Linked DNA regions of Saccharomyces cerevisiae S288C. The gene in region 1 interacts genetically with each later gene. Each region holds a gene or a part of one and is shown in the gene's direction. Other genes may lie near its edges.

What was found. Genes that interact genetically often act in the same process or in processes that back each other up.
Region 2: of PDR5 (region 1) and RSB1, a mutation in one rescues a mutant of the other (synthetic rescue), as found in Saccharomyces cerevisiae (2 studies listed by BioGRID, with this or other methods).

Annotation. Positions count from the first base shown.
Region 1 is NC_001147.6:617,998-625,133, forward strand, and holds PDR5 (ATP-binding cassette multidrug transporter PDR5), read left to right. Parts: upstream 1-1,842; coding exon 1,843-6,378; downstream 6,379-7,136. Other genes in the region: ATG40 (Atg40p), read right to left, coding at 1-291; SLP1 (Slp1p), read left to right, coding at 6,732-7,136. UniProt on the Saccharomyces cerevisiae protein: Active efflux of weakly charged organic compounds of 90 cubic Angstroms to 300 cubic Angstroms surface volume.
Region 2 is NC_001147.6:422,168-425,669, reverse strand, and holds RSB1 (phospholipid-translocating ATPase RSB1), read left to right. Parts: upstream 1-1,937; coding exon 1,938-3,002; downstream 3,003-3,502. Other genes in the region: ETT1 (Ett1p), read left to right, coding at 1-824. UniProt on the Saccharomyces cerevisiae protein: Catalyzes the ATP-dependent translocation of sphingoid long-chain bases (LCBs) from the cytoplasmic site toward the extracytoplasmic side of the membrane (flip-flop). Involved in the establishment of the functional lipid asymmetry of the plasma membrane.

The DNA of each region.
Region 1 (7,136 bases):
AATACTTCCAAACGACATAAGTAAAGAGGTAAATGGTAAGAAATTCAGAAAGGCATCAATAGGAGTATAGAGGTAAATAAAATGTATGAACTCGTAAAGACTCCAATATTTTAACAGTGATTTATAAATGGTGATGACAACTGGGGACTGACCCAAAGAAGTAGCGGTTTTAGCAGCACTTGCCTTTGAGAAGTCAACGGAAGACGTCAGATAGACCACTTCTAATGTCAGCTGCAAAGGAATGGCAACTGAGGTAAGCAAAAATAAGGGCCATAAAATTAAATTAAACATTAGTTTTCTATGGTGGAGTGAAGCACAGCAGAAAGAACGTTAGGAACCTTAGCTAAAAGATAGAAAAAAAGAGCACTACAAAAATCTTATCCTCGATTTGAAATACTAATGTCGAGCCAGATCAAATTAAATGAAATCGAAATGATATAACGTTGCTCTTGCACGTGTATTTCGCTGCTTAGGAAAGTTGTTTCCACATATTATCTTTTGTACGATTTTAAACAGTAAAATCGATGCATATTAAGGGAGGCCCAATACCCGCGGGCAGTAACCGCATCTTTGGAAATACCGGGTAATAATAAATGCCCGGGAAAAAAGAGCATAAAACAGAGAGGCGATATAGGAATGAATATGTGCTATTTACGGAAGGGAAAAACACTTATTGTTTTTCTGAAATGTGACACAGTAAAGTCCGTCATATACGGTTCTCCGTTGGGCGCTACCACACACATATATATAAGCCTGAATGCAGTAGACAAATTTCAGATATCATACAAAGGAAGCGTTCTCTGGGACCCCTTTCTATGTTTAGATGGTTCACTGAACTTGTTCGTTAACGTAAATATGTCTTCCTCTTTGATTCCAACAATGATATTATAAGGAAATTATCGTCACAATCTAATCAACAAGGACAAAGAAAAGAAAAAGTTGAGAGAGAGAACAAAAGTTCAAATCAAAGAAAAAAAAGAACATCAAATTACCTATTACAATAAACAATTAAGCCATACTCGCAACAATTTGCCATAATAGAAAGCAGCACCTCGTTGGCGCAGTCCCTTACATAGTACACAACATTTATCACTTCACACAATCAGGAGTGGAACTCAATGGAAAACAACACCACACGTATGATCTTACTAATAAAAGAACATGAACGTTCCTCAGCGCGAACGTTCGCATTCTGCGCCTTCGAGCACAGGATAAGTTGCAGGAAGCCATCACATCTATGCAACGATTATCACGACACAACCTTGCCGCCGAGAAAACGTCCGTGGAGAACCATTCGGTCGATTGCTTCCCACGGAACGAGTGGACTGAAACTTAAGACTGCCCCTCTCTTTCCGCGGAATCGCTCATGCCGCGGTGCCACAACATTTTCAGATTTACTAAGACTCCGGTGAGTGTGGGCTCACCCGCGGGTCGTGATCACGATTCAGCACCCTTTGGACTCGTGATTCCGTGGAAAGGTCAGATCTGTATTCCTACTTATGGTAATGTGCTAAAAAAAGAGAAATGTCTCCGCGGAACTCTTCTACGCCGTGGTACGATATCTGTTGAACGTAATCTGAGCAATACAAACAAGGCCTCTCCTATACATATATAATTGTGATGTGCATAACCTTATGGCTGTTCGCTTTTATTATCATACCTTAGAATGAAATCCAAAAGAAAAAAGTCACGCAAAGTTGCAAACATATAACAACTGTGTTAGTTATCACTCGACTTTGTTATTCTAATTATAAATAAATTGGCAACTAGGAACTTTCGAAAAAGAAATTAAAGACCCTTTTAAGTTTTCGTATCCGCTCGTTCGAAAGACTTTAGACAAAAATGCCCGAGGCCAAGCTTAACAATAACGTCAACGACGTTACTAGCTACTCCTCCGCGTCTTCTTCTACTGAAAACGCTGCTGATCTACACAATTATAATGGGTTCGATGAGCATACAGAAGCTCGAATCCAAAAACTGGCAAGGACTCTGACCGCACAGAGTATGCAAAACTCCACTCAATCGGCACCCAACAAAAGTGATGCTCAGTCTATATTTTCTAGCGGTGTGGAAGGTGTAAACCCGATATTCTCTGATCCTGAAGCTCCAGGCTATGACCCAAAATTGGACCCCAACTCCGAAAATTTTTCTAGTGCCGCCTGGGTTAAGAATATGGCTCACCTAAGTGCGGCAGACCCTGACTTTTATAAGCCTTATTCCTTAGGTTGCGCTTGGAAGAACTTAAGTGCTTCTGGTGCTTCCGCAGATGTCGCCTATCAGTCAACTGTGGTTAATATTCCATACAAAATCCTAAAAAGTGGGCTGAGAAAGTTTCAACGTTCTAAAGAAACCAATACTTTCCAAATCTTGAAACCAATGGATGGTTGCCTAAACCCAGGTGAATTGCTAGTCGTTTTAGGTAGACCAGGCTCTGGCTGTACTACTTTATTAAAATCCATCTCTTCAAATACTCATGGTTTTGATCTTGGTGCAGATACTAAAATTTCTTACAGCGGCTACTCAGGTGATGATATTAAGAAACATTTTCGTGGTGAAGTTGTTTACAACGCAGAAGCTGATGTACATCTGCCTCATTTAACAGTCTTCGAAACTTTGGTTACAGTAGCGAGGTTGAAAACCCCACAGAACCGTATCAAGGGTGTCGATAGGGAAAGTTATGCGAATCATTTGGCGGAAGTAGCAATGGCAACGTACGGTTTATCGCATACAAGGAATACAAAAGTTGGTAACGACATCGTCAGAGGTGTTTCCGGTGGTGAAAGGAAGCGTGTCTCCATTGCTGAAGTCTCCATCTGTGGATCCAAATTTCAATGCTGGGATAATGCTACAAGGGGTTTGGATTCCGCTACCGCTTTGGAATTTATTCGTGCCTTAAAGACTCAAGCTGATATTTCCAATACATCTGCCACAGTGGCCATCTATCAATGTTCTCAAGATGCGTACGACTTGTTCAATAAAGTCTGTGTTTTGGATGATGGTTATCAGATCTACTATGGCCCCGCCGATAAGGCCAAGAAGTACTTTGAAGATATGGGGTATGTTTGTCCAAGCAGACAAACCACCGCAGATTTTTTGACCTCAGTTACAAGTCCCTCTGAGAGAACCCTGAACAAAGATATGCTAAAAAAAGGTATTCATATACCACAGACCCCGAAGGAAATGAACGATTACTGGGTAAAATCTCCAAATTACAAAGAGCTAATGAAAGAAGTCGACCAACGATTATTGAATGACGATGAAGCAAGCCGTGAAGCTATTAAGGAAGCCCACATTGCTAAGCAGTCCAAGAGAGCAAGACCTTCCTCTCCTTATACTGTCAGCTACATGATGCAAGTTAAATACCTATTAATCAGAAATATGTGGAGACTGCGAAATAATATCGGGTTTACATTATTTATGATTTTGGGTAACTGTAGTATGGCTTTAATCTTGGGTTCAATGTTTTTCAAGATCATGAAAAAGGGTGATACTTCTACATTCTATTTCCGTGGTTCTGCTATGTTTTTTGCAATTCTATTCAATGCATTTTCTTCTCTGTTAGAAATCTTTTCGTTATATGAGGCCAGACCAATCACTGAAAAACATAGAACATATTCGTTATACCATCCAAGTGCTGACGCTTTTGCATCAGTTCTATCAGAAATACCCTCAAAGTTAATCATCGCTGTTTGCTTCAATATAATCTTCTATTTCTTAGTAGACTTTAGAAGAAATGGTGGTGTATTCTTTTTCTACTTATTAATAAACATTGTCGCGGTTTTCTCCATGTCTCACTTGTTTAGATGTGTTGGTTCCTTAACAAAGACATTGTCAGAAGCTATGGTTCCCGCTTCTATGTTATTGTTGGCTCTATCCATGTATACCGGTTTTGCTATTCCTAAGAAGAAGATCCTACGTTGGTCTAAATGGATTTGGTATATCAATCCGTTGGCTTACTTATTCGAATCTTTGTTAATTAACGAGTTTCATGGTATAAAATTCCCCTGCGCTGAATATGTTCCTCGTGGTCCTGCGTATGCAAACATTTCTAGTACAGAATCTGTTTGTACCGTGGTTGGAGCTGTTCCAGGCCAAGACTATGTTCTGGGTGATGATTTCATTAGAGGAACTTATCAATACTACCACAAAGACAAATGGCGTGGTTTCGGTATTGGTATGGCTTATGTCGTCTTCTTTTTCTTTGTCTATCTATTCTTATGTGAATACAACGAGGGTGCTAAACAAAAAGGTGAAATATTAGTTTTCCCACGCAGTATAGTTAAAAGAATGAAGAAAAGAGGTGTACTAACTGAAAAGAATGCAAATGACCCCGAAAACGTTGGGGAACGTAGTGACTTATCCAGCGATAGGAAAATGCTACAAGAAAGCTCTGAAGAGGAATCCGATACTTACGGAGAAATTGGTTTATCCAAGTCAGAGGCTATATTTCACTGGAGAAACCTTTGTTACGAAGTTCAGATTAAGGCCGAAACAAGACGTATTTTGAACAATGTTGATGGTTGGGTTAAACCAGGTACTTTAACAGCTTTAATGGGTGCTTCAGGTGCTGGTAAAACCACACTTCTGGATTGTTTGGCCGAAAGGGTTACCATGGGTGTTATAACTGGTGATATCTTGGTCAATGGTATTCCCCGTGATAAATCTTTCCCAAGATCCATTGGTTATTGTCAGCAACAAGATTTGCATTTGAAAACTGCCACTGTGAGGGAGTCATTGAGATTTTCTGCTTACCTACGTCAACCAGCTGAAGTTTCCATTGAAGAAAAGAACAGATATGTTGAAGAAGTTATTAAAATTCTTGAAATGGAAAAATATGCTGATGCTGTTGTTGGTGTTGCTGGTGAAGGTTTAAACGTTGAACAAAGAAAAAGATTAACCATTGGTGTTGAATTAACTGCCAAACCAAAACTGTTGGTCTTTTTAGATGAACCTACTTCTGGTTTGGATTCTCAAACTGCTTGGTCTATTTGTCAGCTAATGAAAAAGTTGGCAAATCATGGTCAAGCAATTCTATGTACTATTCACCAACCCTCTGCTATTTTGATGCAAGAATTCGATCGTTTACTATTTATGCAACGTGGTGGTAAGACTGTCTACTTTGGCGACTTGGGCGAAGGTTGTAAAACTATGATCGATTATTTTGAAAGCCATGGTGCTCATAAATGCCCTGCTGACGCCAACCCAGCTGAATGGATGCTAGAAGTTGTTGGTGCAGCTCCAGGCTCTCATGCAAATCAAGATTATTACGAAGTTTGGAGGAATTCTGAAGAGTACAGGGCCGTTCAATCTGAATTAGATTGGATGGAAAGAGAATTACCAAAGAAAGGTTCGATAACTGCAGCTGAGGACAAACACGAATTTTCACAATCAATTATTTATCAAACAAAATTGGTCAGTATTCGTCTATTCCAGCAATATTGGAGATCTCCAGATTATTTATGGTCGAAGTTTATTTTAACTATTTTCAATCAATTGTTCATCGGTTTCACTTTCTTCAAAGCAGGAACCTCGCTACAGGGTTTACAAAATCAAATGTTGGCTGTGTTCATGTTTACGGTTATTTTCAATCCTATTCTACAACAATACCTACCATCTTTTGTCCAGCAAAGAGATTTGTATGAGGCCAGGGAACGCCCCTCAAGGACTTTTTCTTGGATTTCATTTATCTTCGCTCAAATATTCGTGGAAGTTCCATGGAATATATTGGCAGGTACTATTGCTTATTTTATCTACTATTATCCAATTGGATTTTACTCCAACGCGTCTGCAGCTGGCCAGTTGCATGAAAGGGGTGCTTTATTTTGGTTGTTCTCTTGTGCTTTCTACGTTTATGTTGGTTCTATGGGTCTGCTTGTCATTTCATTCAACCAAGTTGCAGAAAGTGCAGCTAACTTAGCCTCTTTGTTGTTTACAATGTCTTTGTCTTTTTGTGGTGTTATGACTACCCCAAGTGCCATGCCTAGATTTTGGATATTCATGTACAGGGTTTCACCTTTGACTTATTTCATTCAGGCTCTGTTGGCTGTTGGTGTTGCTAACGTAGACGTCAAATGCGCTGATTACGAATTGCTAGAATTCACACCACCATCCGGTATGACATGTGGGCAGTACATGGAACCATATTTACAACTAGCAAAGACTGGTTACTTAACTGATGAAAATGCCACTGACACCTGTAGTTTCTGTCAAATATCTACAACCAATGATTACTTAGCTAATGTCAATTCTTTCTACAGTGAGAGATGGAGAAATTATGGTATCTTCATCTGTTATATTGCATTCAATTATATCGCTGGTGTCTTTTTCTACTGGTTAGCAAGAGTGCCTAAAAAGAACGGTAAACTCTCCAAGAAATAATAGAATTTTGAATTTGGTTAAGAAAAGAAACTTACCAAGATGGACTTTTTTAATAAACATACATAATCACTACATATAGGTGCGTAATAATAAGTTTTTATTTTTTTTTTCTTAATTCAGCGAGCTTTCTACATTTCAATTTTCTTGAATTTACCAGCTCTGATAAATCAAAGTTCAATGTCCGAAAGAATTCCGAGAATTTTATTCCTAGGTTATCTCATCGGTACTTTTTTTTTATAGGCATCAGCATTTAGTGTGAAAACATTATTTCTTAACTGTGCCTTACGGTTAAAAAGAAAGGACGCAATGGATATAGTTAAAATATAAGATATATTATATCATTATCTGTCCGAATGGCGAACCGTCTTCTCATATACGGCCTTATTTTGTGGGTAAGTATAATCGGATCTTTTGCATTAGATAGGAACAAAACTGCTCAAAATGCGAAGATTGGTCTACATGATACCACTGTGATCACGACTGGAAGTACAACGAACGTGCAGAAAGAACATTCCTCACCACTATCCACCGGTTCTTTAAGAACCCATGATTTTAGACAGGCCTCTAAAGTTGACATACGGCAGGCTGACATACGGGAAAACGGTGAGAGGAAAGAGCAAGATGCACTAACACAGCCTGCAACACCAAGGAATCCGGGCGATTCGAGTAATTCATTTTTATCGTTCGACGAATGGAAGAAGGTCAAGTCGAAGGAGCACTCATCAGGCCCTGAACGTCATCTTAGTCGAGTGAGGGAG
Region 2 (3,502 bases), 200 kb from region 1:
GTGCTATCGAAAGAGTCGAATTAGGTCTTTCGCATTTCCCTGAATCCCAATTTCTAAAACTAGTTTTAGCAAAGATAATTTTCCAAAGGATTCCGTTGGAATATATTTCCAATCTCCATTTGAAATCGAAGGATAAAAAACTTGATCTTGTAGGACAGCTTGAACATGGTAAGAAGCATTTTTCAATTTATGAAAACGATACTGAATTTACTTTTGAAATCCTACAAATGGTGAATGACTTATTGGACATCGTCGAGAATTTTGGTCGCGAACAATCTATTCAAGAGGGCATAGATAGCGATAATGAAGAGGAAGAGGAACTCATTGATATTGAGTTGGAACCAGAACACCCTGTATATCCCCTACAACAATCGCTAGAAGCGAATTACGAGTGGCTAAGAAACCATTTTGATAAATTGCTTGACAACACAAATACAGATGTGAAAATCTATGCATCAATAGCTAACACCCTAGGGGAACTATACCTAAAAAAAGCTGAAGAACCAAGTAAAGTTTTCTTAAGCCTACAGTACGATGATGGCGGTTCTGAAAAGGTTAGCGACAAGGAAGCCAAGAACGCCCAAGAAACCGCTTTGAAGCACACAAAAAAGGCTTTAGAATACTTGGAAAAGGCTAAACTGGAGGATGATCCGGACACCTGGGTTCAAGTCGCCGAAGCATATATTGACCTAGGTAACCTGCTTGACAATGAAAGTGCTGAACAAGAAGAAGCTTACAAAACCGCCGAAGAAATCTTAGGCAAAGCAAACAAGGCTTCTCATGGTAAATTTCAAGATGTCCTGGACAATTTCTTACAAGGCTGAGCGCATCCACGCTTCTTTTTTATTTTTACTCACTCCTTCTGTTGCCTTAAGTACTCTCAAAAATTACTATTTTTATCTAGTTTTATAGAAAAGCTAAAAGAAAGGCTATATTTATTAGAGCGCGTGTTGAAATATAGTCACAACTTATTTAATGAGTTAAACTTTTGGTTTCCTTTTAGGTTTTTTGGTGCTCAGCCTCGTCATCACCCAATAAAGAGTTTATTATCAATGGCTTCAGTGAAACAAACCAACAAAACTCTCCGAGAGGGCAATCCAGAGCATAGCACAATCTTTTACATCCGCGGAAGCATTCTTGCTCCGTCATATTTCCTTCCGGACTTCGCTCGGACTCTTTTTCCGCGGAAAGATATGGTCTCCGTCGGTCCTCTGTTTCCTATTATATTTGCGCACAGTGACAGTGCGGCAATTGATATGTCAGGGACCACTGGAAAACGACGTTGCCTAGTAGTTGTGGCAGCTCCGATAGTTGACATTCTCATTAGTAACCGAACTTCTTGCACCAAGTCCTGTGCGAGTGCTGCACGGCCATGCCTTGAGGGTTCTGTCGCCCCCTAGCTGTACGTAAGCATCCCCCGTAATTTTTCCGCAAATGTCGAAAAGCTCTTGACTTTTTCTCGCTATCTCGCTCTCTAAAAGGGAATAGGTGTGATTCTGATCGGTTGTACCCACGGAGCTCTAATTTGCCCTGTTTATTTTTCTTTGGTGTGCCTCCCATTTTCACCTAAAACAGTTGAGCTGATGGGCAAAACACTATATAAGGTTTATTATTTGCAGTCGACCCCAGAATCAATAGAAATAAGAAGAGTTTTCCTTGTCGCTTGCACAGTAAAGTATTTTTTTTTTTTCTTTCAGTAGTAGACTTAAAATTCATTACTTTTCTACGTAAACTCTGGTTTCCTAGCAGTTCAAGCAATAGTATACTAAGGGCGTAACTAATTACTGCTGGTTGTTCTAAAATAGATTTCTCACAGTACTTTTTTTCTGATTATAGACGTTGAGAAATTCAAAATGTCCAACGCAACAAATAATACGTTAGGCAGTCTTTTGCCACAGTTAGAAGCAGCAGCTAACAGTAATTCCCTTTATGGTGGTATGGTACCGAACCTTCGTTTTAATATCACGATGATTGTCATTTGGGGTATACTACTGACAATACATGTCGTACAGTTACTGATGCGCCAATACTGGTTTTCAATCGCTTTTATATGCACAGGTATTTTGGAAGTTCTTGGATTTATAGGGAGGACGTGGTCGCATTCTAATGTCGCCGATATGGACGCTTTTCTTTTGAACATGATTTGTTTGACTATTGCACCAGTTTTCACAATGGGTGGTATTTATTATCAACTTGCAAAGCTTATAGAAGTATACGGCCACAGGTTCTCTTTATTGCCCTCTCCAATGGCGTATTCTTTTATTTTCATATGTTCCGATATCGTATCGCTTGTGGTGCAAGCTGTAGGCGGTGGCCTGTGTGGTGTGGCGGTCACAGATGGAACGTCCACAACAACCGGCAATCATGTTTTCATTGCTGGTTTGGCCATTCAAGTTGCATCGATGGCCATCTTTCTTATGTTATGGTTTCACTTCCTTTTCCGTATATATATATCGGTAAGATGGGAACACATAAATTCTAGACCTATCTCATTGAGCCTCTTAAAGATATCGCAAACAGAAGTTGATTATTTATACAGGGAAAAGTTCCATTTTTTGAGACTCGAACCTAAACGTTGGGTTTTTCATTATTTTAATCTGGCAATAACCGTTGCGGTACTAACCATTTTTACCCGTTGTTGTTACCGTTTGGCTGAATTAGTTGTCGGTTGGGATGGCTATCTGATCACACACGAGTGGTATTTTATTATCTTAGATGCATTAATGATGGCCATCGCTACGGTCACTTTGACCATCTTCCACCCTGGATTTGCGTTTAAAGGTAGAAGCACCTCGATTCCAATCACACCGGGCCATGTTGATCCTGAAACTTTACCACATACTGACGATGTTGAAGATATCTTAGATACTTCGGATTCAAAACAATTTGATATTGAAAAGGAGGAATTCCAAGCAAGCATGAAATACCCGATTAGCACCTTCAAACAATTCATGTCCAAAATAGCTAACTTGTTTTCCTCTAAAAAGAAGGCTAAACTTTAGTGATACGTAGAATTTGAATGTCAATCTGATCGTTCATATGCATTTTTCAATTCTTACTTTTTTTCTCGAAGTTCCCGACTATGTTCTGTTTATTTTTTCTCCTATTCAAAAGAACCGGACAGCATTTTTACTTCCTTATATTTCGACATCGTAATATGTACATTTTTTAGTTCACAAGTATTTTTCCCCTTTCAATGCTTTAATCAGCCTTCAACGTCATACATACTTTCTATTTTGTTCCTGTGCCATCGTATAACTTTCCTCGTTTAGTGTTTTCGCCTCAGCTTAATGTAGATCACTGTTTTGACGTTCTTCCATTTTTGGGAACGAACTAAACTAAAAAAAAGAAAACTACAGAGTTTCCCATAGAGAACAGAAAATCCGCTATCGGCAGCTTATAGGGTCATATAATTATGGCGCACATAAGGAAAATAAATTTATTTGAATCAATCAACAGACCTATCTGTTGATATATGAAAGAGAGCAGGAGCGTTAGTTTA